3 linked regions of the Pelodiscus sinensis genome follow. The protein of the gene in region 3 binds, or shares a complex with, the protein of the main gene of each other region. Links are inferred from orthologs where the notes say so. Each region holds a gene or a part of one and is shown on either strand. Other genes may lie near its edges.

What was found.
Region 1: the proteins of TGFB3 (region 3) and ITGB8 are in contact, whole or in part, in a cryo-EM structure (PDB 8VS6), measured with the Homo sapiens proteins. The link is inferred for Pelodiscus sinensis from reciprocal best matches to the Homo sapiens genes TGFB3 and ITGB8. Residues at the interface, in NP_001316868.1 of Homo sapiens: Gly262, Asp263, Leu264, Arg266, Leu267, Lys268; in NP_002205.1 of Homo sapiens: Ser156, Ala157, Ser158, Asn161, Arg206, Gln210, Cys211, Tyr214, Leu216, Ser247, Gly248, Asn249, Ile250, Asp251, Thr252, Glu254.
Region 2: the proteins of TGFB3 (region 3) and TGFBR2 are in contact, whole or in part, in a crystal structure (PDB 9B9F), measured with the Homo sapiens proteins. The link is inferred for Pelodiscus sinensis from reciprocal best matches to the Homo sapiens genes TGFB3 and TGFBR2. Residues at the interface, in NP_001316868.1 of Homo sapiens: Arg325, Lys331, Trp332, His334, Tyr390, Tyr391, Val392, Gly393, Arg394; in NP_003233.4 of Homo sapiens: Leu50, Phe53, Asp55, Ser72, Ile73, Thr74, Ser75, Ile76, Glu78, Val100, Asp141, Glu142.

Annotation. Positions count from the first base shown.
Region 1 is NC_134712.1:201,088,413-201,096,269, reverse strand, and holds the start of ITGB8 (integrin beta-8), read left to right. Parts: upstream 1-4,854; 5' UTR 4,855-5,633; coding exon 5,634-5,760; intron 5,761-7,857. UniProt on the Homo sapiens protein: Integrin alpha-V:beta-8 (ITGAV:ITGB8) is a receptor for fibronectin. It recognizes the sequence R-G-D in its ligands.
Region 2 is NC_134712.1:184,714,836-184,722,837, forward strand, and holds the start of TGFBR2 (TGF-beta receptor type-2), read right to left. Parts: upstream 3,004-8,002; 5' UTR 2,478-3,003; coding exon 2,375-2,477; intron 1-2,374. UniProt on the Homo sapiens protein: Transmembrane serine/threonine kinase forming with the TGF-beta type I serine/threonine kinase receptor, TGFBR1, the non-promiscuous receptor for the TGF-beta cytokines TGFB1, TGFB2 and TGFB3.
Region 3 is NC_134714.1:43,366,605-43,374,129, forward strand, and holds the start of TGFB3 (transforming growth factor beta-3 proprotein), read left to right. Parts: upstream 1-4,516; coding exon 4,517-5,000; intron 5,001-7,525. UniProt on the Homo sapiens protein: Transforming growth factor beta-3 proprotein: Precursor of the Latency-associated peptide (LAP) and Transforming growth factor beta-3 (TGF-beta-3) chains, which constitute the regulatory and active subunit of TGF-beta-3, respectively.

The sequences.
Region 1 (7,857 bases), on a different chromosome or scaffold from region 3:
GGTGGCATTTGAATCTCTCCTGGGTGGTCACCCAAGTGCTCACCTTTCAAGGAACACTAGCCATGGGTGGGCTGCAGTCCTTTCACTTAGCATCTAGGCCTACCCACAGCCCTGAATCCATAGGCTGGGAATGCGTTAGTTGTTCCAAGTGAGGGGTGTGCCACTTGTTAGCAAGGCTGAGTGGTACCAGTGGGACCAGAGACTAGGGCAGCGCACAGTGCCATCAGGAGAGGGAAATGGCAGGCTGTGTCAACAAACACCAAGCTGGTGTTGGGAGTAGCAAACAGAGCTTGAACCCTGGTGGGTCCCCTCTGCCCCATGGATGTGCCCTGCAGACTATGTGCCCTGGGCAGCTTCGTATTCTCTTGCATGCTGAGCAATAACGGTTGGCTGGAGTGAGGAGTGGGAGGCCATTGTTGCCTGTTCTTTCATGCAAAGATCAGTGTGCACTCAGTTTTCCTGTCTTAGCTATGCCACTGAAAAAAAGATCTGCCCAGATACAAATTGTTTATCCCCATTTGATCCACAATCCTCAAAATCTGCATCTGTGGATATAAAGCATATATCTGCAGGTTTGTAGGGCTCCAATTATGAAAAGCTCAAAGGCCAATCTCCAAAGTAGAGGGGTTCAAACTTTCTCCCTGCCCTGGTGCTTTTGTTTCTGTTGGGAAGTCCTGTGCTTTTGCTTTTAAGAACTTTTTTTCTTTTTATGGGATGCATCCTTGAAGCTCTTTGGATTTAGTTTTCACACTGTTGGAGGTACCTGATCCTTTTGTTGATTCAATCAAATATGTTGTTTGTTTATCATCACCCTGTATCTTCATCATTGTCTGGTCTAGTGAGTAGTACTGCTATTCCTCATGCTACCTAACCCTTAGCCCTGGTCTACGCTAGGTGATAAGTTCGAATTAAGATACGCAACTTTAGCTCCGTTAATTCCATAGCTTAAATTGAAGTATCTTAACTCATATTTTGGCACTGTCTATACTGTGGAAAGTCAAAGGCAGCACACTCTTGCTTCAACTTCCCTTACTTCTTGCAGAAGTAGGACTATCAGTATTGATGGGAGCGCCCTCTCAATTCAAATTAGTGTGTCTTCACTAGACCCACTAATTTGAACCCTGGGAGATTGATTACAGCTACTTCAATCTTATCTGTAGAGTAGACATGGCCCTAGAGTAAGAATCCCCTGATGAAGAGTTCTTACACTGTAATTGTCCTTGTCTGCAGAGACCATCATATATGGTTCTCACCCACCCACTCACCTCCCCTTTTAGAAATTTTGTTTTTAAGGTGGTAAATATAGTCTTTATAGTTGTGCACAAGTGAGTATTTCATTATTTTACTCAAAAAAGAAACTGACAAATGAAATTACTAGTGGGCTGTACCACTCACATATTCCAGTTACTGATGGGGGAGTGATATGTAAGGCCTTCCACAACTAAATAGTGTTAGAGTTCATAGCCAGTGCTGTGATAGAAAGTGAAAGAGTGAAAATTCTGTGAGATATCCTTAAACAAATAAAATTGCTAAGTTATATTCCCTTCTAATACAACTTTCTGACATAATATTTGCTTTAAAGTAGAAAACAAGCTTTTCTTTGTATATAAAACTCCAAGGCTACAGTCAGAAAGATATTAGCCACTCAGACAATTTTTAACAGATTTTTGATCACGCAGGTCATCTGTAATCAGGATGCCATTGCAGGATGTTCTCAGGTTTTGCAGACTAATTAAAATATTCCAGATGCGTTTGGATTGTCTTGACACAATGATTTAAATATTATAGATAGAAGTGAACCAAGTTTAGGGTGTTCCCAATATGCTTCACAAATGTCTCTCATTTCAGTCTAATTTACATAGGTTCATATAAACCTTCACTTTTATTGTTTTACAGTATTTACATTAAAAACTGGAATTGTAGAATTATAAATTCAGAAACTGGATTTATGCCAAACAAATGAATCCCACAGCACTAAGCTCCTTGAATGAATAATTTTTATTCCCATTATTTACAGGTAAGTTTGCATCCCACATTAGGGCTTTCACAGGTTGAGGTCTGATACCCAAAATTAATTTTAGGAAGGGAAACAGAATAATGGTGTAATATTTTAAAACACCTGTCTGGCAGTGGAGAGATTAGTTCCATTTCCATGTCTGCCCCAGAATTCCTCCAGAATCTTGGGCAAGCGATTTAACTTAAGCTTTATTTTTTCCAGTTTCTAAAATGTGGATAATAAGATATCCAGTATTGTTGTGAGGCTTAGTACACTGCACATTGTTAAGGGTATTAGATGTAAAAGTATTGTTAGGTATTACTTTGTCTAGAATTATGTCTTAGTTACATTTGAATGAGTTATTAATTCTATACTTATCCACAAAGACAAACTTTGATACAATTTCTGGATGAGTATCATGCCTACATGTGCACTGATGCCAGTTCAACAGTAATGGAAGCTTAAGTATGATGGTAAATTTTTAAATTATTAATTTGTATTAAAGTTGTGTTTAGATGACTGGGGTCTAATTGTGCTGGACACCATTTAAAAATACAAAGTAAAAGACATTCTCTACCCCTAATGAGCTACAATCTAATTAATCAAGAAAAACAGAAATTGAAGGAACATGACAGTATTCAGAACCCTTGAACTTTTGACTGATAAAGAACAAGTTGTACAGATATGTATGTGTATCTGCAGATAGCTTGTAAAGTTTTCATGGATATCTAACTTCACACATGGCTAATTAGATGCTGGTGGTCTCAGCTATAAACAAGGTAGCACATAGTCTTTTGGAAACTGAGCCCCAAATAAATGATTTAATAAATTGTTAATTATTCTAACTCTTAAGAAGATTTGAAGTGACAAAATGCACCTGGGGATAAGGAGGGAGTTTCCTAGCTTTTGCTTGAAAGCAAGGTACTTTCCATTCACTTACTAACTCACTCAGGAGTAGTGTTAACCTTTGAACACTCCTTTGAACACTCCTACTTTGTGAGGGGGTGGAAACCCAGAATAGAAGATTGCCTAAGAGGGGTGATAGAAGGGGATAAAATAAGTATTAAAAGAAAACTAACAGAGCGGCATGGAAGGGGGCCAGGGTATTCCCATAGAGCAGTGGTCACCAACCAGTAAATTGGGATCTACTGGTAGATCTTGGAGCCTCTGGCAGGTGATTTTGACTGGTTTGTCCAAGAGGCTATCAAACGCTGGCACTTCAGCTGCCCGTCCCCGCACTGCTGTGCACCTCCTGCCCTTTGCCTTGGAGCTGCCCCTCCCCCATCCCCCACTTGCTGGGCAGAGCAGGGAAGGAAAAGAAGGGGGCACTAATGTCAGGGTGTTCCCTCTCCCATCCTGTGGTTTATCTCCACAGAATGGAGGGGGGCACAACAGGACTTGGGATGGAATTTGCTGGCTGCTTTTGAGAGTAGTGCAGGGCCAGCACAGAGGTGAGCCTGCCTTAGCCCCACTGCACCACCTGTGGTAAGTAGTGTCCAGCTGGAGCCTACATCCTGAACCCCTGCCCCAGTCATAAACCCCCTCGTGCACCCCAAGCCCCTGTCCTAACCCTGAGTCCCCCCCATCCAAACTCCCTTACAGAGTTTGTACCCTGAACGCCCTTCTGCCCCCCCAACTTCCTGCCCCAGGCTCAGCACAGAGCCCCTCGCATTCCAAATCCCTTGACCTAAGACCAGAGCTTGCACCCCAACCCTCTGCCCCAGACTAGTGAAAGGGAGGAAGAATGGGGGAGTGAGGGAGGAAGGAATGAGCAGGAGCGGGGCCTCAAGGAAAGGGCATGAAGGAGGTGGGGCAGGGGTATTTGGGTTTGAGGTAGATCGTGGATTGCACTTAATCTCAAAAAAGTGATCTTGTGCTTAAAAAGGTTGGCGATCACTGTCATGGAGTCACAGGCACTACCAACGGGGACAGGGTATCTTAGGAGAAGAGGGCGCTAGGCAATCAAGTGGTGGTGAACTGGGAGCTAGAACTGGGCAGCACCTGTGGTGGGATGTGGGAGAGAGCAGAGAATTATTCAAAGGTGGGAGGGGTTGAGAAAATGCATGTGTGCAAGGGAAAATAACAACATTCTGCACAAATACCCTGATCAGGCTTCATGCTTCACATTGGTGGGAGCCAGAGTAACATGGTTCCCACAATGCTGCCAGATCTGCCCTAGCTGCAGGATCTGACTGAGGTGTACTGTCCTCTCCCCATGTTTGCACAGACGGGAGGCTAGGAGGATCCTGGAACTGTAGAGGATGGAACATGAATCCCTGCATCCCTGGAACATGAAGGGGATGGAAGGTGCCCTGGGGATGGGGTGCAAAGGTGGTGATGTGTCCTGGATATGGGCAAGAGGGGGTAGACATGGGATAAAGGACTCCAGATAGGGCCACAAAGAGCACCAGGGTGAGGAGTGGTGACGTAAGGATGGGCGCAGGTGGGAGAGGAGGTGCCACAGGGATGAGAGTGGGGAGTAAGAGCGTGCAGGGGTGAAGAAGGAGGCGGTGCCACAGGGATGGGTGCAGGGGGAAGAAGCTAGGCGGTGCAGAGGGACTGGCACAGAGGGAGGTGAGGGGAAGGTGCCGTGGTGGGGACGGTGCACTCGAGGACGTGCAGAGGACTGGAGGGACGATGCAGTTGTGCGGACAGTGCAGGGAGGCGGAGAGGGGGAAGTGCCGGGAGACGAGGTGCCATGGGGGCGGGAGCGCCGAGAGGTGAGGGCCAGAGTGGCCGAGGGAGGGAAGATGCCATGCTGGGAGTGGGACCGGGGAGCGAGGGAGCGGGGGGGGATGAGAGGGGCGCCGAGGGGAGGAGGTGCAGCGTGGCTGTCTGAGGGAAGGTGCCGCGCTGGGGGCGAGGGGCGGAGGCGCAGAGGGATGGATGCTGGCGCTGGGCTCCGGGAGGCTGAGGAGCTGGGCTGGAGCGAGGCAGCACCGCAGGCGGGTTCCGCGGCCCAGCACAACAAAGGGAACAGGGCGGGGGGGCGGAGACTTGTCGCCCCGCCCCGCGCGCCGCCCCGGAGCTCCGCGCCCCGCAGCCGGACGAGCTCGCAGCTGCCCCTGCCGCTGGTGGTCTCCTAGCAACGCGGGACCCTGCGAGCCGGACACGCCGCGCGCCGGCGGGGGGCGAGCGGCACCGGCAGCCCCAGCGCCCGCCGCGGAGCCTCCCTGCTCCCGGGGAGGGGCAGCCCCGGGCCACTGACCCTCCCCCGGCAGAGCCACCTGGCGGGCCCGGCCCGGGGGGCAGCTGCTTCGCTCTTGGTTCTGGGGCTGCGCCAAGTGCCCGCCGCCGCCTCCGGGCAGAGGGAGACAAAAGCCCTTTGTGAGCCGGGCCGGGGGCGGATGGAGGCACCCGCCGTCCCTGCGCGGAAAGGACCCGCCGCCTGCCGCCGCCAAGTGGCTTTGCGCGGCGCTCGGGGGTCCCTGCGCTCCCCCTGACATGCGGCGCCGCGCGCTGCCCCTGCTGTGCCTCCTACCTGCGCAGGGCGCGCCCCTCCTCCTCCGCCCGCTGCCGCCGCAGCTGCCTCGCCTCCCCCGCAGCCACCCGAGGCCACGGCGGGGCTGAGAGCGAGCGAGCCGCTCAGCCGAGACTTGGCCGCCAGGACAGGGAGAGGTGCCGTCTGCTTCGCATTATGTGGATCCCACTCCTGGCTTTTCTGACTGCTGGAATCGTCTCTCTGCAGAAATGCCAGCGAGGGCCAGGCCCCGTGCTGCGGGCAGCCCGTGTGCTCGCCGCTGTGCCGGGGCTGTGCCAGCGCCGTAAGTTGCCGTGCTTTGTCTGCCTTCGCGTGTCTTGCGCGCTCGCGAGTGGGTTGAATGGGGCGCAGTGGCAGGTGAGCGGCTGCCGGGCACGTTTGGAGAAAGTGGCGCCTGAAAGGCGCAGCGCTCCTGACTGATAAGAAACTGCTCGCCGCTTAGGAGCCGTAAGTCTTGGGAGCCTAGCGCTTGACAGCGATAGGTTGACACACAGGTCGGGGATGCCTGCAAGTGCCTTCCCCGGTATGCCCCTGCAACGCCGCCTCTCTTGAGGTCAGGTGCAGCTGGCCTATTTTACCTACTGTCTGGCCCTGTCCTTGAATCGACTGTCTATAAAAAAAGAACTTCAGCGTTCCTGGGAGAGCAACCCATACAATTAAGGGGGTGAAAGTAATTCACATAATTTCATGGTGTCACACTCTCTTTGCACTAGTGTGTTATTCCAATGTGCTGTTTTTAGGATGGGTAATAGAGATCTTTGCAGTACTAATGGTGGCGCAAAGGTACAGTTTATAGTTGGAATAAAAACATTAAATTCATTAATTGTCTTTAGCTCAGTGTGGGGCAACATCTGATCAAAGTAAAGGTAATTGTCTCCTCCCCTCCTAACCTGCCCATCTTCTAAAAAGAAAAGAAAAGACAATATTAATGTTGAGAGACAAATTGAAAACTTAAATTCCATTACATGTAATATACAGGTGATATTACAAACAAGTGTGAGCCCAAAAGTGCAGGCCATGGGACACTGATATGCATTGACATATCCATTGAGTTCAGTAGGGGTTTGTGCATACTGAAGCCATCCATGCAAATAGTTCTAAATTCATAAAGAAATTTAGTCATGAAATGAATGCCCCCCCTTCTCTTTTTAACCTTCTGCACTAGAAACAGGTTTAACTAATTTTAGTAATTTGGTAGACTAAAATGTACTGTTACGTATTGGAATTGTATGCCAAGTTTCAGCTTGGAGTTAATTAAAATGTCCAAATTGTAGCCTTATAAAATAAGATTTATGATGGCAATAGTTCTTATCCTTTATTAATTGTTGCATATGTAACAAGCTAATGTCTAATTCAATAAGATGTACTCAGTACTATTAAATGACATAATATGGAATAACTTCAGTTAATTTTTATGGGGTGGGGTTTTTTGGTTTTGTGGTTGTGTTTTTGGTTTTGGCTTTATTTTTGAATTAACAATGAACCAAACTAAATGTCACTGAGAAAACAGTTTAATATCAAGTTTCTTACGAAGCAATGACATCCTGTATTTGGTATCTTCTATACTAAATGAATGAGCACATTGGCCCTTGTGTTTTGACCTGCGATTGGACTGAGTTCAATATAGGCTGTCTTTGAGGGAGTGGCTAGAGTGACTAAGCCATTTTTGTACTATTGAATACTTCACATCTCTTCCCTCTCATTCTGCTGCAACAGCCCATTCGAGAAACATATAGCAGTACAGAATAATTGGAGCAGTCATGCCTCTTTGCTCCTTCCCTGGTGTGCCCCTGTGCCAGGTGTGATAGAAGATCAAAGTTCTTGCTTCCATCCTCCTATACCCCCTATTCCAATTGAGGTATCCTCCATAAGGAGCCACTTTGGTTTGTGACTTTTGTATGTTTGTGGAGCTGGTGTACGGAAGCAACACCAGAGGCCACAATTCAGATCTGTGTTTTTGCTGATCTGCACCCGTGAAAGAGAAAAATAAACATGTTTGCATGCAGATCCACGACTAATATGTCAACAAGAATGAGTGAAATTCTGTTTTAAATTATGTATTGTTGATACCAATATATTATTTTATTCTATTTAACTGTTACATGTAATTCTACTTAACAGTTGCATTAAAAATAGATTCTATCTTCACTTATACCCATGGAAGTCTGTGACATGGGAAGTTAGTTGCATGTGTGTGTAAATGAAAGTACAATTTGATCTTTCATTTGGATTAAGGTTGGAACACAAAATAAAATCTGAGAAACTACTGTAAAGTTGCACGTCTCACTAAATGACCTCTAAGCACAGATAAAAGATTAGTTTTTCTGCCACTGACAAAGGATCTCTTGTTCAGAAACTTTTACCAAAGGAAATTACAGTT
Region 2 (8,002 bases), on a different chromosome or scaffold from region 3:
TCGAAAGAGGAATGCAAATGCAGCCAAGCAAAATTGCAAATGAAGTGCGAATTTACAAATCTTGCGCTTCATTTGCATAATGGCTTCCGGGCGCTTTTTCGAAATAACCCTTACTCCTTAAAAAATGAGGCTTAGGGTATTTCGAAAGAAGGGTTTTTTCTCAAAATAACCCCGTCAAGACAGAGGGTTTTTTTTTCGAAACAGGGTATTTAGACCAAAGGAACAAAACTGAGGACTCAAAGTAAAGCTTCCAAAAGACTTCTTCTAACAGTCCATGCAGTGATTACATATTAAAGGTCTAAGAATAGATGTTTATTGCTAATATGCACCGTGGAGTTAAATTAATAGCTAGAAATGAAACTTTTGGAATTTTATTTGGTAACCATCTGAATTTTTTTATCTCTTTATTAATGGACCCCTCACAATCACTATGCAACCCAATTTCAATAGCATGTTCTAGAGCCTAGTCCTTTAGACACTTAGGCTGCGTCTAAACTGGCAAGTTTTTCCGCAAATTTGCGGAAAAACTTGCCAGCTGTCTACACTGGCCACTTGATTTTGCACAAAAGCACTGACGTTCTACTGTCTGAAATCAGTGCTTCTTGCACAAATACTTTGACATTCCCGTTCGGGCAAAAGCCCTTTTCCGGAAATGTTTTTGCACAAGAGGGCCAGTGTAGACAGCTAAAAACTATTTTGCACAAAAAAGCCCAGATGGCGAAAATGGCGATCGGGGCTTTCTTGCACAAAACCTCATCTAGATTGGCACGGATGCTTTTCCGCAAAAAGTGCTTTTGCGGAAAAGCATCAGTGCCAGTCTAGACGCTCTTTTCCGCAAATGTTTTAACGGAAAAACTTTTCCATTAAAAGCATTTGCGGAAAATCATGCCAATCTAGACGTAGCCTTAGGGTATGTCTACACTGCAATATTTTTTTTAAATAACTAGCGTTATTCCAAAATAACTTAGCCTGCGTCTCCACTGCAGGCAGTTATTTTGAATTAATGTCAAAATACTGTCAAGCTGAAGGACATCTTATTCAGACTCCTGTAACCCTCATTGTACGAGGAATAAAGGAAGTCAGAGGAAGAGTGCTCTATTATTTCAGAGTTAAGTCTTGCAGTGTAGACGCAAGATGTAACTTTACACATGTAAATGTCCTACTGAGGTATCACTTGGATAAGGCTTTGTGGGCTACATCTCCAACTTGTAAGTTTTTCAGGCCAAAGAAACTTGTTTTCACATAAGTCTGCAATGTAGTTTGATCACCCAATGCACAACATAAATATATTGCTAACGGTAACACGAGCCATGTCCTTAACATAGCCAGGGATGTACAGTACAATTAAAAATTCCCTCCACAGGGATGTAAAAAGTAATGAAAAGCAAACAAACAAAGGTATTAACTTTTAGGAATGCGTTGAATACTAAAAGAATACCTGAAGTTTCATAGAGTTTAAGGCCAAGAGGGCCCATCGATTCATCAAGTCCCACCTTTTGTATATCACAGGCCATTACATTTCACCCAGTTTATAGAAACCCCTATATTAAGCCCAAGGACCAAGACACTTCAGTCCTCAGGAGACTAAACCGTAGGTGCCACAGACAAGCTACAGGAGAGACGAGCTTGCGGCCAATGCCCAAAGACTTGCAATAGCAAGAAACTGAGAGTTTTCAGCAACTGCTTCTGATCAGCACTTAATGGACAATTGCATATAGTGAGGGAACAAAAAATTAGTTCATGTTTAGGCAGTGTTGCATGTTTGGCAAGATCAATTTGCCTGGATCTAGACCCAGGGCAAGGGTGGGAGAGGCAGCAAATCGGGGGTACACCCAGGGAGGCAGGGGTGCAATACTCCGCGGCCTTAACAGGAGGATCTCAGATGAACTCCTTGAGCGCCAATGCCACTTTCTCCATCCGCCTGCATCCCAGGTGTCAGGTTCCTGGGCCACCGATGCCACCTAACGCCCCGAGCAGCGCTGCTCAGCCCCAGGGGGCATCCCGCAAGTGAGCGGGTTAAGCTCTGTCACTCGCCGCCCTAGGGCGACAGCGGCAGGAAGGGGCGGCGTGGGGGGAGGGCAGCCCGCTGAGGCATAGCGGAGGAGCATGTCCCCAGCACCGTGGGGCCAGGTGAGGAGGCTGCTGCAGCGGCTCCCTGCTCGATAACCCCCCGCACTCCGCTCCCGAACTCCGCCGCGCACCGGGCTCGCCCCGCAGCAGTCCCCCTCCCCCGCGCTTCCTGCCAGCTCCCGTGCGAGCCCCGACCCGCCCGGGCTCGCGCCCCCTCGGCCAAGCAGCTGTCAAGCGCGGGGGGGGGGGGGCGAAGAGGAGACGCGCAGCCGGGACACAGGGGCGGGGGGAGGCTGCGACTTACCTGAGTCCCGCGCCAGAGGGGGGCTGGTGCTGCCCGCGAGCGCCCAGCACGCGCAAGCCTGGAGCAGCAGCAGCGCCAGGCTCCGGAGGCGATCCCGGCTCATAGTCTCGCCCGCTCCGCATAGGAAGCCGAGGCAAGAAGTCGGGCTCCTGGGGGAGGAGGGAGGGAAGCGAGGGCTGCGCGCCCCGGGCCGGCCGGGGAGAGAGGGGAGGCCGCGGCAGCTGCAGCTGAGCTGCCCTCTCTGGGACTCAGCGCGGCCGGGCTGACTCACTCCGCTTCGCTTCAGCGCCGCAGGGGGAACAGGAAATCTTCAACTTCGCAAACAGCTGGGCAGGACTTGCTCGCTCCGGTACGGGCTCCCCGCCCCTCCCTGGCCGCTGTCACTCAGCTGCCCTAGGCCAGCCCCTCGCAGGGCTCGCAGACACCGCAAACACCCACTAGCCAGCCACAGCGCCTGTCCCGCGCCCGGGCTGTGGGTAGAGGCGTAGTTGCCCTGCCTAGGAAGAGAAGTAGGGAGAGTTTCCCCAGAGCCACATGACCAAGGCTTGTAATAGCCTGTTAGTGGTGCATTGAGGGGCCCTGGTGTTCGGCGCTGTACAATCAGCCCGATCCAGCCATGTGTTCCAAGTGGGCAGACTGCTCCCCGGCTCACTGGCCTGCTTGCTGACTCCACTAGGGCTCCTCTGGTGGCATTCCACCTGTGTGTTTCACTGGGGCAGTCAGAGCCACAAAGATCAAACCTCGCCGGCAGGTGACATAATCAAGGGGGAAGGGAGGTTGAAGTGACAGTAATAACAGGAAATGTTAGTACAGACTGCCTTGTACTGAGTTTTTAGAAACAAGCCAGGCACTAGCAACCATTACAGTCATAACCACTTGTCGCCTGCCCCCCTTGTGTTTTGTTCCAGACTTGAAAATAGGTTGCATATTTTGCAGAAAAAAAAAAGTTAAAAGGAAATAAACAAAAACGTGCCTGCAAATGGACTCAATTTGCTAGTGGAAGGAAAACGGCCTTGAAAAAGCAAAATTGAGGTTTGCAATGAAAATGGAGAAATTCACATTCTCCTGTTCTTTTAGGCACAAAATCACCAGAAACTTGAAAATGGTGAATGTTTTCACAAATATGTTTATGAACATTTTTTCAAATCCTGGCAGTACACTAAAACATTCACATGCTAAAATAAAATTGATGAAGTAATGACTACTAGCTGTAGTGTATGTATTGACATGTTTATATATGTGCAACTGGCTCACGTGCTGTTCTTTAACTGTCTCAGGAACCTACTACATCAGTAAAGGAGCATGACTTTGGGATGTTTTACATACATTGTAGATATGCAAGGTTGGTAAAACTCATCAGCTTCCTTCCCTGATCCAGCCCAAATAACCAGGCTTCCTCCTCCCCTAGGAATCAGGATGAGAAGACATAACATTTTAGGGATGAAATCAGTACAATGCAACCATTCACCACTTATATCACAACCACAGACCATGTGATTTACTGGATGTTTGCAGTGAATAGGCACTGGAAGTCACTAAAAATGCTGCCACTGGACATGAAGTAACTTTTAAAAGTATATTCAGTTTTAGTATATGGGTTGTGGATATTACAGTAGAACCTCAGAGTTACGACTACCTGGGAATGAAGTGATTCATAACTCTGAAATGTTTAATAGTCTAAGCATTTTAAAGACTTAACAAAACATGTAGATGGCATCATGAGATTTCGTGGGCACAACCTACTTCTTCAGATGACCAGAATGTTGGATGTCCAGAACCAAGAATAACACTGAATAAAACATTATCATTGATCTTTCAAATATTTACAATGGAACATTGACTTAATATAAAACATAAGAATGGCCATACTGGGTTAGACCATCTAGCCCAGTATTCTGTCTGCTGATAGTGGCCGATACCAGATGCATCACAGAGAGGGAACACAACAGGTAATCATCACGTGATCCCTCTCCTGTCATCGATCTCCAGACAAATAGAGGCTGGGGACACCATTCCTACCCATCCTGACTAATAGCCATAGATAAACCTAACCTCCATGAATCTATCTAGCTTTTATTTTAAACCCTGTTAAAGTCCTATTCTTCACAGCATCCTCTGGCAAGTAGTTCCACAGGTTGACTGTGCACTGAGTGAAGAAAAACTTCATTTTGTTTGTTTTAAACCTGCTGTCTATTAATTTCATTTGGTGATTCCTAGTTCTTATATTGTGGGAATAAGTAAATAACTTTTCCTTAATCACTTTTTTTCCACACCAGTCATGATTTTATAGATCTCTATCATATCCTGCTTTAGTCTCCTCTTTTCTAAGCTGAAAAGTCCAAGTCTTTTATCTTTCTTCATAATCCATATAGCTTTGAAACTTTGCTACACAAAAGAAAAATGCTGCTTTCCCTTTGTTTTTTATGTTCAACATAGTACATTACTGTATTTATTTTATTTTATTGCCTCTGCTGCTACCTGACTCTGTATTTCCAGGTCCAGATGAGGTGTGTGCTTGACTGGTCAATTTGGAAGTCTGGTATTCATAACTCTGAGGTTTGTTGTACTCTCCTCACACATATACAGATGTGTATGGACTGGAAAATAAACTGCTGCACACAGCGATATTTGGAGACTCTGTTGTGATTCAGCTGAGTCTTGATTACAACATTTGATATGGATACAGAGCTGATATGGATATTTCAGATATGGGGACTAAACCTAGGCAGGGGTCCTCAAATGTTGTGATACCGCAACCCCCCCTTTAAGTTGCTCATGACCCCCCGGGGCGTCAGGACCCACAGTTTGAGAAACTCAGCCTTAAGGGACAGTGTGTGTGTGTATGTACATGTACCATATCAACCGTTTATGAAGTTTGAAGGATTTACACAATGTATGTAATTGGTCAATAACTTAGACTTCAGAAATCTCATTATGTTTTTACATAAATTTGGTTCTAAAATATATTTACACAGTGTAGTCATAGTTTATATTGTGAATTCTCAGACTTCACTAAGAGGTTTTTCCATTTCTTCTTTTTGTTTTGTTTACTCAAGATTCTCTCAGACAAAACTGCCTTCTTGAAGTTGGTGGAAAATTTGCCTCAGTAACACTTGAGTATAGATGAGAGGTGGGGTATTTTTATAAATTCATAGTGTAACATCACTGTGTTGCAAACTGGTCATATTTTTAGTAACTTGGCTACATATTATTATTAGCACCTTTCATTGTACATTGTAGCAATACAGTTCTCTAACTGTGAACCACAGAGTACTTGCTAGTGGACTGGAAATTTGGCTTATCACATGGTGTAGCATCTCATCTATTTCCCCATGCTAACTTGCATGATTACAAGAAGCTATGAATTAATTAAATATTCATTCATTTCAAATGCTAGTTTTCCATATAAATAATTGCTATGGTTGCCAAAGGAATGTTACATGGCTATGAAGAGAGAGGGGAAGAATGGTTGTACAATCACAAGTTGGAGATCAAGTGTTTTTTGTTTTTTTAAGATGGGGGCTGCTCTGTGAGAAGGCTTGTGGATCACTGTCAAAACATAGTAAATTCTTGCTTGGATCGCTCTACAGGAAAATTAACTACCTGGACCAAAATTTATATAGCACTCATACTAACAAGCAAAAAGTAATGCAATTCAGAGTTGTACTTTCACAAAGATGTACCTGGGTTGTGGTATACTTACACACAAGGGTCCTGTTCCTGCCTTTCTTTAGCACCTAAAGATCCCATGCTTAGGCCCAAACTCACTTTAGTCAGGATTTCCTGGACAACTGAAAATATATAAAACAATGCTAAAGCTGGTTACTTTGTTCCAGTTCCTTATTAACGGTTTTCATTTCCTTATTCACAGACTGGAGTTGCCTATTTATTTCTAAGTCAAAAGGGTGAATAATAAACTTTAGTCAGACATAGGTGAGGGAGGCCAAATAATGCAAACTTCAGATGTATCTAGAAAAGAAGTTTAGGAAGTGTTCTCTTTTCAGTGGTCACAGCTGTTGTTTTCTTCAACAATTGTATATACAGTGCTGTATGGCACAGGAACAAAATGTTATGACTGAATACTTAAAAATACTGTTAATTATAAATGGTTAATGTTGTCATAGTTGCTTTGGGAGAAATAGGTTAAATATATATGAAGTTTGCGATCCCCAAAGAAAACAGCAGTGACTCTTTGATACCTTAGATAGAAACACCAGTATGTACAAAGTAAGAGTGAGAATATGTATTATGCAATCCGTACAGTTTTCTGTGACAGAATCTGTCATTAGGGTTGCCAGAATGGTTTAACCAAAAATACTGAACACCCAAAAAAAAAAAACCACCAGGGAAAAAATTCTGTTGAGGAAAAAAAGGGGGAGATCAAAATTGTTGAGCAAAAAAAACCCGGAGACCAGGCAACCCTATCTGGAATTTTCATCTATGTACAAAACACATTTTTCTATGTGTACTAAGGCCTGTGTGAAAGTGCACTATCAATAGAAACCAAAAACTGAGCTGTGGGCTCTCTGCTAATCAACTGGAAAACATTTGATTCTCTCCTAAGCAACCGCACAAATGCACAGCTGATAGGAAACAAGGTGTGTGTGATCTTGTGAAATCACCGCCTAGCATGCTGACCAATATTGTCACATTAGTTTCTTGTATTCCCCTGTCAGTTTGTTGTTTTCTCCATTTGTGGACTTGTCTTATGCTTATAGTAAATGGTTTGGAAATGTCTTTTTGTTCTATGTTTGTACAATGCCTAGCATGATGGGTTCCTGATGTAAGACTCTATCTTCTAGGTAGTATGATAATTCAATAAGAACATAGTTATCTACTAGGGTATGTCTACACTATAAAGTTAATTCAAACTAACAGATGTTAGTTCGAATTAACTTTGATAGGCGCTACACATACAAACCGCTAGTTCAAACTTAATTCGAACTAGCGGAGCGCTTAATTCGAACTAGGTAAACCTCATTCTACGAGGACTAACACCTAGTTCGAATTAAGTAGTTCGAATTAAGGGATGTGTAGCCACTTAATTCGAACTAGTGGGAGGCTAGCCCTTCCCAGGTTCCCCCTGGTGGCCACTCTGGTCACAACCAGGAAAACTCCTCTCCTCTCCCCCAGCCCTTAAAGGGGTAGACTTTGGCCAGACGGCACTTTCCAGAGACAGCCCTGCCAGCAGTCTCTGCCCCTGACCGAGAGGCCGCACGATGAGCCAGGCAGTCAGTGCCAGCGACATGTCCCCTGCCCAGTCCCCCAGCACCCAGGAGCCAGCCAGGGGACATAGACGGCGCGCGGCCTCCTGGACTAGTGCGGAGGTCATGGAATAGGAAGCCTAATCCAAACTACCTAACTGTGAACCGCGTGCCGTGTGTAGCCGCGGGCACGGAGTCCGAACTAGCGGACATTTAAAAATGGCGGCGTCCAGCAAAATGCAAATGAAGCCTGGGAAATTCAAATCCCGGGCTTCATTTGCAACTCCGGTTGCCTACTTTAACCACCCTAGTTTGAACTAGGGTGGTAGTGTAGACATACCCTAAGTCCTAACCTGATGCCCTGCCGGCACCTGTTCCGGCCAGCCTTAACTCAGTTCAGCAAAACGCTAATTCGAACTAGTTT
Region 3 (7,525 bases):
GCATGCCCTTGTCAGCAAGCTTCTCATGCTTCCTGCAAATGATTCAAAATGTTGACTCCTTGTGACAGGAGAGCCAAGGCTATTTGTTTTTCCAAAAATTCTGGAAAATGTGTGTATGTCTAAGTTTTTCCATAGTCCTCAGCATACACCTTTTGTATCATGCAAACTATGGCCTTCAGTAGTACTTTCTGTTAAGTAATGCTGTTGGTTTTTAACAAGCACCAAGGCTCTGTGTATGTCGTTTTTTAATAAAAATGTGTTTTAAATAGTTTGAGAGTCAAGGACTATTTACAGATTAAACTGCCTGCTTCTGGCAGTGGCAACTAAGTGTGTAATTGCAAGCATTAGAGAGAAGTCACCTCCCTCCAAAACATCAGGTTGTGTTTTGCAGCAGCAGCAGATACTCACATTATAGTTTATTCTGCTACAAAGCCTGTTCTGTCTTGACTAGCAAATTGAATTTTAGCTTGCCTTTCTGACTAAAGTAAATGCTTGAGTTGTCTGGTTCCAGCGTGTAGATCACAAGTCTCATTTTCCTACTTAAAACTAAGCTGTGTCTTGCAGCTGCAACTTAAGTTTGTAAAGCTCAGTAATTAGAATCTCATCTGGAGATTTCCCATCTCTCTCTCTCTCTGGGTACATCTACACAGCAGGGCAAAACTCACATTAAGTTACGCAACTTCAGCTAAGTCAATTGCATAGCTGAAGTCAAAATAGCTTAATTCAGCTCTTGGTGCTGTCTACACAGTAGGAAGTTGAAGGAAGAACACTCTCCCTTTGACTTCCCTTACTCCTTGTGAAATGGGGATTACCATGAGTCAGAGTAAGAAGTCCTCCAGCTCGACATTATTTCAAAATAATGTCTTGCAGTGTAGATGCACTCTTCTGAGATGTTATTCCGAAATAACGTTACTGTTATTGTCAGAGACCAGTTGCTCCCCCAATCAGGAAGAGATGTGGGGGGTTAAGGTGCAGTCTACCAGCCAAGCCTTACAAGGCTGGCTCTTCCCCCAGTGGCTGATTCTGCCTCAGCACATACAGCCTATTTGTCTTCTTGCGGGCAGTCTGTCACTTTCTGTCATCCTCACTTGACTGTCAGAGCTCTCTTTAAGTAAGTCCGCCATATGGAGCATCTCCGAGAGCTGTTCAGGGGTAGGGCCCTTTTAGCCCAATACTGCTTCACCATTCCTTTAACCTTAGGCCTGGTCTACACTAGGGCTATGTCTACACTGGTAGGTTCTTGTGCAAGAAGTATTGTGCAAGAACATGTCCACACTGCCATGTGTGAGATGTGCTTTTGCGCAAGAGCATCCATGGCAGTGTGGACACTCTCTTGCGCAAGGAAGCTCTGATGGCCATTTTGGCTATAGGGCTTTCTTGCACAAGAAACCCCTGCCGTGCATCCATACTGCCCTCTTGCACAAGCGCTGTTGTGCAAGAAGGCTTACACTTGTAAAAAAAGAGCGTAGCTCTTGCGCAAGAAGCCCTCTCTTACCATGCCGTACTGTAAATCTTCTTGCACAAGAGTGGGTGGTTAGTGTAGACGTAGCCTAGAAGTTTAGGTTGAACTTAACTACATTAAGTAGATTTTCTAAACACTGAATCTATACCACCAAGGGGGTTTGTAATATGCTGCTTTCCCATGTCTCACACACCGTGCCCAAGCTCCTGCCCTGAACTCCGTTTCTGTCCCTTCTTCCTTGTGTTCACTAAATAAAAACACATTATGTCTCAACAACAGTATCTTTATTGCTTTTGTTGCCTGGAAGAGAGGTTACAGGATTTACAGGCAAGCACACTTAAGAGCAATGCACATGACTGTCATATCATTGTCTGGCCATTCACAAAGCTGTTTTTCAAAGCTTCTCCGATACACAATGCATGCTCCTTATTTCCCTAGTGTCAGGCCCCTCAGGCCCCCACCCTGCATAAAGCTTTCCTCCTTACTTTCACAGGTATTATGGAGCACACAGCAGGCTGCTATAACAATGGGAATGTTGCTTTTGCTGAGATCTAACCTAGTAAAAAACTTCAAAACCTTCCCTTTAAAAGTCCAAAAGCATATTCTAGCACCATTCTGCACTTTCTCAGCCTGTTGTTGAACTGCTCCTTGCTGTGATCCAGGCTGCCTGTGTCTGGCTTCATGAGCCACAGGTAGGAAGGGGTAGGCCGAGTCTTCAAGAATTACTTTTAATGGCACTGACCTGCTATGTAAAAAGACTTTGAGATCTTGGGATGAAAAGCTATAAAAGAGCTAAGCACAGAGAAGAATAATTCTGTGGGCAGGTTGCTAGCCTAGGATTTGGGAGACAGGTAAATGCCCTGCTGTGCCACAAACTTCCTGTGTGATTTTGGACAAGTCATATAGGGTATGTCTACACTTTTCAAAAAATCCCAAACCCTGAAGCAACAGGTCTCACAGAGCCCAAACCAACTGATTTGGGTCATGGGATTGGTGCTAAGGGGCTAAAAATAGCAGTACAGAGATTGCTGTTTGCCCTGGAGCATGGGCTCTTGAAACCTGAACAAAGGTGGAGGGTCTCAGAGCCAGGGCTCCTCCTCTGGTGGAAATGTCCTGACATTATTTTAGTCCCATAGCAAACCTAAGTCAGTTGACCAGGGTCCTGAGATTCGCTGTTGTGGGGATTTTTTGCAGTGTAGACATACCCAAAGACTCTCTGTGCTTCAGTTCCCCTTCCAAAACAGTGATAGTGGTACTTCCCAACTTCACAGGATAATACATGAAAGATTGTGGGGTGCTGACACACTATGGTGAGGGGGGCCATATGGGCATGTAGAATACTTAGTTCCCCTACTTGTCCATGCCTTCTGAATCTAAGTAAGGCTTTATCCAGCCCACCCATAAAAATTGCCCCCCTTTCCACATCCTATCCACTGCTTGGATCCACTTTCTAGCTCCCCCTCTCCCAGACTCTGTTGCTGGCTCTTGAATCCCTTGCCCCAATCCTATTTGCCATTACCTGCCCAGCCATGCCATCCCTCACCTCCACCACCCCGGTCCCTCATATCCCTTCCCCTTCCCTGCTGTATCCCATCGCTCCAGCAGCTCCAGCAATTGCTCACATGGAAAAATCACATCAGCAAAGTATGTCATGTATTTTTAGCTTCTTTTAATGCAATTTAGCAGCTGGAAATCAGCGGAGGCGCCAGCCTCAAGTCACCCGCCAGCTCTCTGCGGACCACCAGCGAGGGCTGCAAGGAGCTCAGGCTGGGAACGGCGGGGGTGAGCGGCTGCCTAGGAGCCGCGCCACCGGCCTGTGCTCCCCGCCAGAGAGCGCCATTGGCTTTCCCGAAAGCCCCACCCTGACTTCCCGGCCCCGGGAGCGCGTTCCGAGCCGGCCCGCAGAGCTGCCCCGGACCACGATTAAAGCCGCGCGGGGCCCGTGCGCTGAGTCTCCCCCCGGCCCCGAACGCGGTGCAGCAGGGTCTTGTTGCGGGCCCAGGCACGTGCCCACGTCCCATTTCGGAACCCGCCAGCCCGGCAGTGGGCTTCGTCCCCCAGGATCACCCCGCGGGCGGGGCCCAGGGGGAGGGAGGCGCTGCTCAGCGGGGCGGCGGGGAAGAACGCGGTCAAACCAGGGCTGGGGAGCAAAAAGTGGGAAGTGGCAGGAGAAGGGGCGCGAGCGGGACGGTGCAGAGGGGAGACTGGGGGCAAAGCACCGACCCTCCCCCCTAGGGAGGTGGGACACCGGCCCGAGCCAGACAGCCGGGCGAGAGGCCGAGCCTGGGATTTGCCCCCCTCCCCTCGCGCCTGTGCAACGCATTAAACCCGGGTTGAATGTGAACGCTGGGCCGGCAGGTCCCTCCCCCACCCTCCTGCAGGCCCGCAGACGTCATGGGAGGGAGGTATAAAATTTCAGCCGAGCGGAATAGAGAGTCAGTGTGTGAGGGAGCGAGGGGGCCGGGGGCCAGAGAGGGCGAGCGAAAAGGACAGGCGCGCACGGGGCTCCGGCTGCGCGTGGGGATACCGCCCGCAAAGCGAGGCGAGGGGCAGCGCTGAGCTACCCCAGGCTCCTACCTGGACCCCGCGGAGACGCCGGAGGGATGTGCAGCGCGGCCGTCGCTTAATTCCTCGCAGCGCCAATGGAGCCAAGCGGCCGCGAATGACAAACCCCGTCCTGCCCCGCGAGGGGCTGTGAACTAAGGGGCGCGCGTGGATAGTGCATGCCCGCAACAAGTGTGCGGAGCCTGCGCCTGCCCGTCCCCGGGGGGCTGCCTGACACGGGCGCAGGAGGTCGCTGCTCCAGGGGACCTGCCTCTGGAGCTGCGAGACTGCCCCGCGGCACAGTCGAGCTCCAGCCTCTCTGCGGTTGTTCCTGGCTTCGTGCGGAGGCGCCCTCCCCTGCCCTGGTCTGTCTGGAGCCCTGGCTCAGCGGGTCCTGCTTGGACACATGGAGAAAGATCCCGGCTCGCCGCGGCACAGAGCCTGTTTCTCCTTCCTAAGTGTTGCCAGCGCTTCCTGGAAGTCCTGAATCGCTCACTGCACAGTGAGTTCATGCACCTTCGTGCCAAGCCTCAGTCTGCAGGATCTGGGGAGGCTGTACCGAAAGCCCTGCCTAGTCTCCTTAGCCCACTTGCGCTTCCTCTGGGGTGTCCCCTCGTTGTGGCTCCCTCTTTACTCTCGCACATGAAGATGCACTTGCAACGGGCGCTGGTGGTCCTGTGCCTGCTGAGCTTTGCCACCGTCAGTCTCTCGCTCTCCTCTTGCACCACCCTAGAACTCGACCACATCAAGAAGAAGAGGGTGGAGGCCATCAGGGGGCAGATTCTGAGTAAGTTGAGGCTCACGAGCCCCCCCGAGACGGTAGGACCAACTCATGTGCCCTACCAGATTCTGGCCCTGTATAACAGCACCCGGGAGCTGCTGGAGGAGATGGAGGAGGAGAAGGAGGAGAGCTGCTTTCAGGACAGCACCGAGTCCGAATATTACGCCAAGGAAATCCACAAATTTGATCTGATCCAGGGTCTTCCCGAGCACAGTAAGTTCCCCATCATCCTCTGCTCCTGTGCATGGCTTTCAGGGCGTCATCCTGGGAGGGACCCAAAACTGAGCAGGAGGTGCATAGTGCATGAAGCCCAGAGGCAAGGCTGCCTAGGGTGGGGAGCAAGAAGGAAGGGACAGCAGTGCCTTCTACTGGGACAGGGGAGGGGGAATGCAGGAGGAATACTTTGCACTTCCCTCTGGAAGGGATGAAGTTTCCTGGCAGGAGCATTCACAGATTCTGATAGCCATTCTGAGGCAGGTGTCTAGTAACTGTGGACACGTCTGCTTTCCCATCCACTTCTAGCAAAGAAAAAAAATAGCAACTCTTTTGTTGTCTTTTTTTAGGTGATTGATCTAGGCCACATTGCTGTAAAGTGTGTGCCTGACAATGCTTATGTGTGGGTGTGTATGTACAGCTAGTTGTGTAGCTTTCTGTACAAAAGTGAATGTGTACACACAGGTCTATTTTTGCATGTGCACATTCTATATTATGCATTGTCTGTCTGTGTCTGCGCACATGTGCATGTATTTTATATGTGAATGTGTGCGCACATGTTTGTCCAAGTATGTGTGTGCACATGTGTGAGTGCCAGTGCGTCTGTTTATGTATCTACATTTTTTACCAGTGAGATAAGACTACGTGTGTTTCAGCCCTATGTGAGGCTGGAGTGACATATGAGACATTTGTTTCTGTGTCTTGGGGTATAGCTGAGTGGGAGTAATATGTTTTCATATCTTCATGGAGGTTTGTACATGGTTGGGAAGAGTCCATGCGTTTCAGTGTGCAGTGTTTCTTGGCATGTGTATTTGCTCATATAGGGAAGTTGTGAGATGTATATGTGCTTTTGCATGCCTTTGAACATATATGTTCAGTGTATGTGAATCACATGATTACAACAAAGATTTTCAAAGCACAGTAGGAATGAAAGAAATCTGGCAAATGCTGAGAGACTGCACAGACGAGAACCCCAGAGTCTGGGAATAGCCTCATGCTGCCTTCATACCATAAGGTGTCCTCATGGACGCTGAAATTATTGTTTATTGGGGCAGCAAGTGTGTATGTTGGGGGAATAGAGTGAAGACAACACTAGAGAGCCATAGGTGTGGGGGTGGTATGTAGAGTGTATAGGGGAGCCTGGAGATAAGCAGTGTGAGTGGGAGGGGTCTGAAAAAAACCTAAAGATGAATTTTAAAAACAATTTTTTTTAAATGGCCAAGTGCTGGCTGGAGAGCAGCCTCCAGCAGGTGGAGGAGTTTGAGCATTGGCAAGCGGCAGGCAAGGGATGGGCTTTCAGTGTCTTGGAATAACATCAGCCTAGACTCTAGCCAAGGAATAGCAAGCCCAGCCAATGTTTGAAGCCCTGATATCCTGAAGAAGATGGGAAGGGAGGAGACACATACACCCGACTGGAGGAGAGAGAAGAAAGAAAAAAGATGGTGAGCGGAGGCGATGAGGAGGAAAGAGTTTGGGGCTTGTAGGCTGAATTCACCCTAAAGGATTAGTAGCAGAAATAAAAGCGTGTCTGCATGCGGAAAACATAGTCCCAGTGCTGGGCCATATTAATCTGTGGCAAAACTCTGCTGGCTTCAGTGGTTGCAGTAGGAATGGATTTGGCTCATTTACTCTGCAGAATGTAGTCAGATGCAGAGAAGACAAAGATACATGTACAGAGGAAGGCAGACATGGAGATGTGGAGAGGTACAGCCACTAAGGGAAGACAGAGGAGATGCTGAGGAAACTCAGATACTAAGGAGACACACACAATGATAAGACACTGCATAAATGCAGAGGAGACTCAGATGCTGAGCAGATACTGGAGAGACGCTCAGGAGAAACAGATACTGAGGGGACAGATAATGAGCAGAGGATCACATAGATGCTGAGCAGGTGCAGAGCAGACACCAAAGTAGATGCAGAGGAGATCTCAATGGGACACACACACACCAAGGAGATACTGAAAAACAGATGTGGAGCAAGTGCAGAGCAGATGTTGAGCAGATACAGATGCAGACACTAACCAGATTCAGGTTCAGATACAGACCTAGAGACTGAGCAGACACCAATCCCGAGCAGATTGCAGATGTGGGAGCTGAATGGATGTTGGGACTGAGCAATCCCTTCAGTCAGTGCTGGAGATTCCTCAGTTCTGGAATACAATGGAAGACATGCAGTGATGTCCCAACACAGGGGTTATGTCTAGACTGGCAAGTTTTTCTGCAAAATCAGCTGCTTTTGCGGAAAAACTTGCCAGCTGTCTACACTGGCCACTTGAATTTCCGCAAGAACACTGACTTCCACTGTCTGAAATCAGTGCTTCTTGCAGAAATACTATGCTGCTCCCGTTCGGGCAAAAGCCCTCTTGCGCAAATCAGTGCTTTTGCGGAAAAGTGTCCGTGCCAATCTAGACACTCTTTTCCGCAAATGCTTTTAACGGAAATCTTTTCCGTTAAAAGCATTTGTGGAAAATCATGCCAGTCTAGATGTAGCCAGGGTGTTCCTTGATGCTGTAGTATTGCATT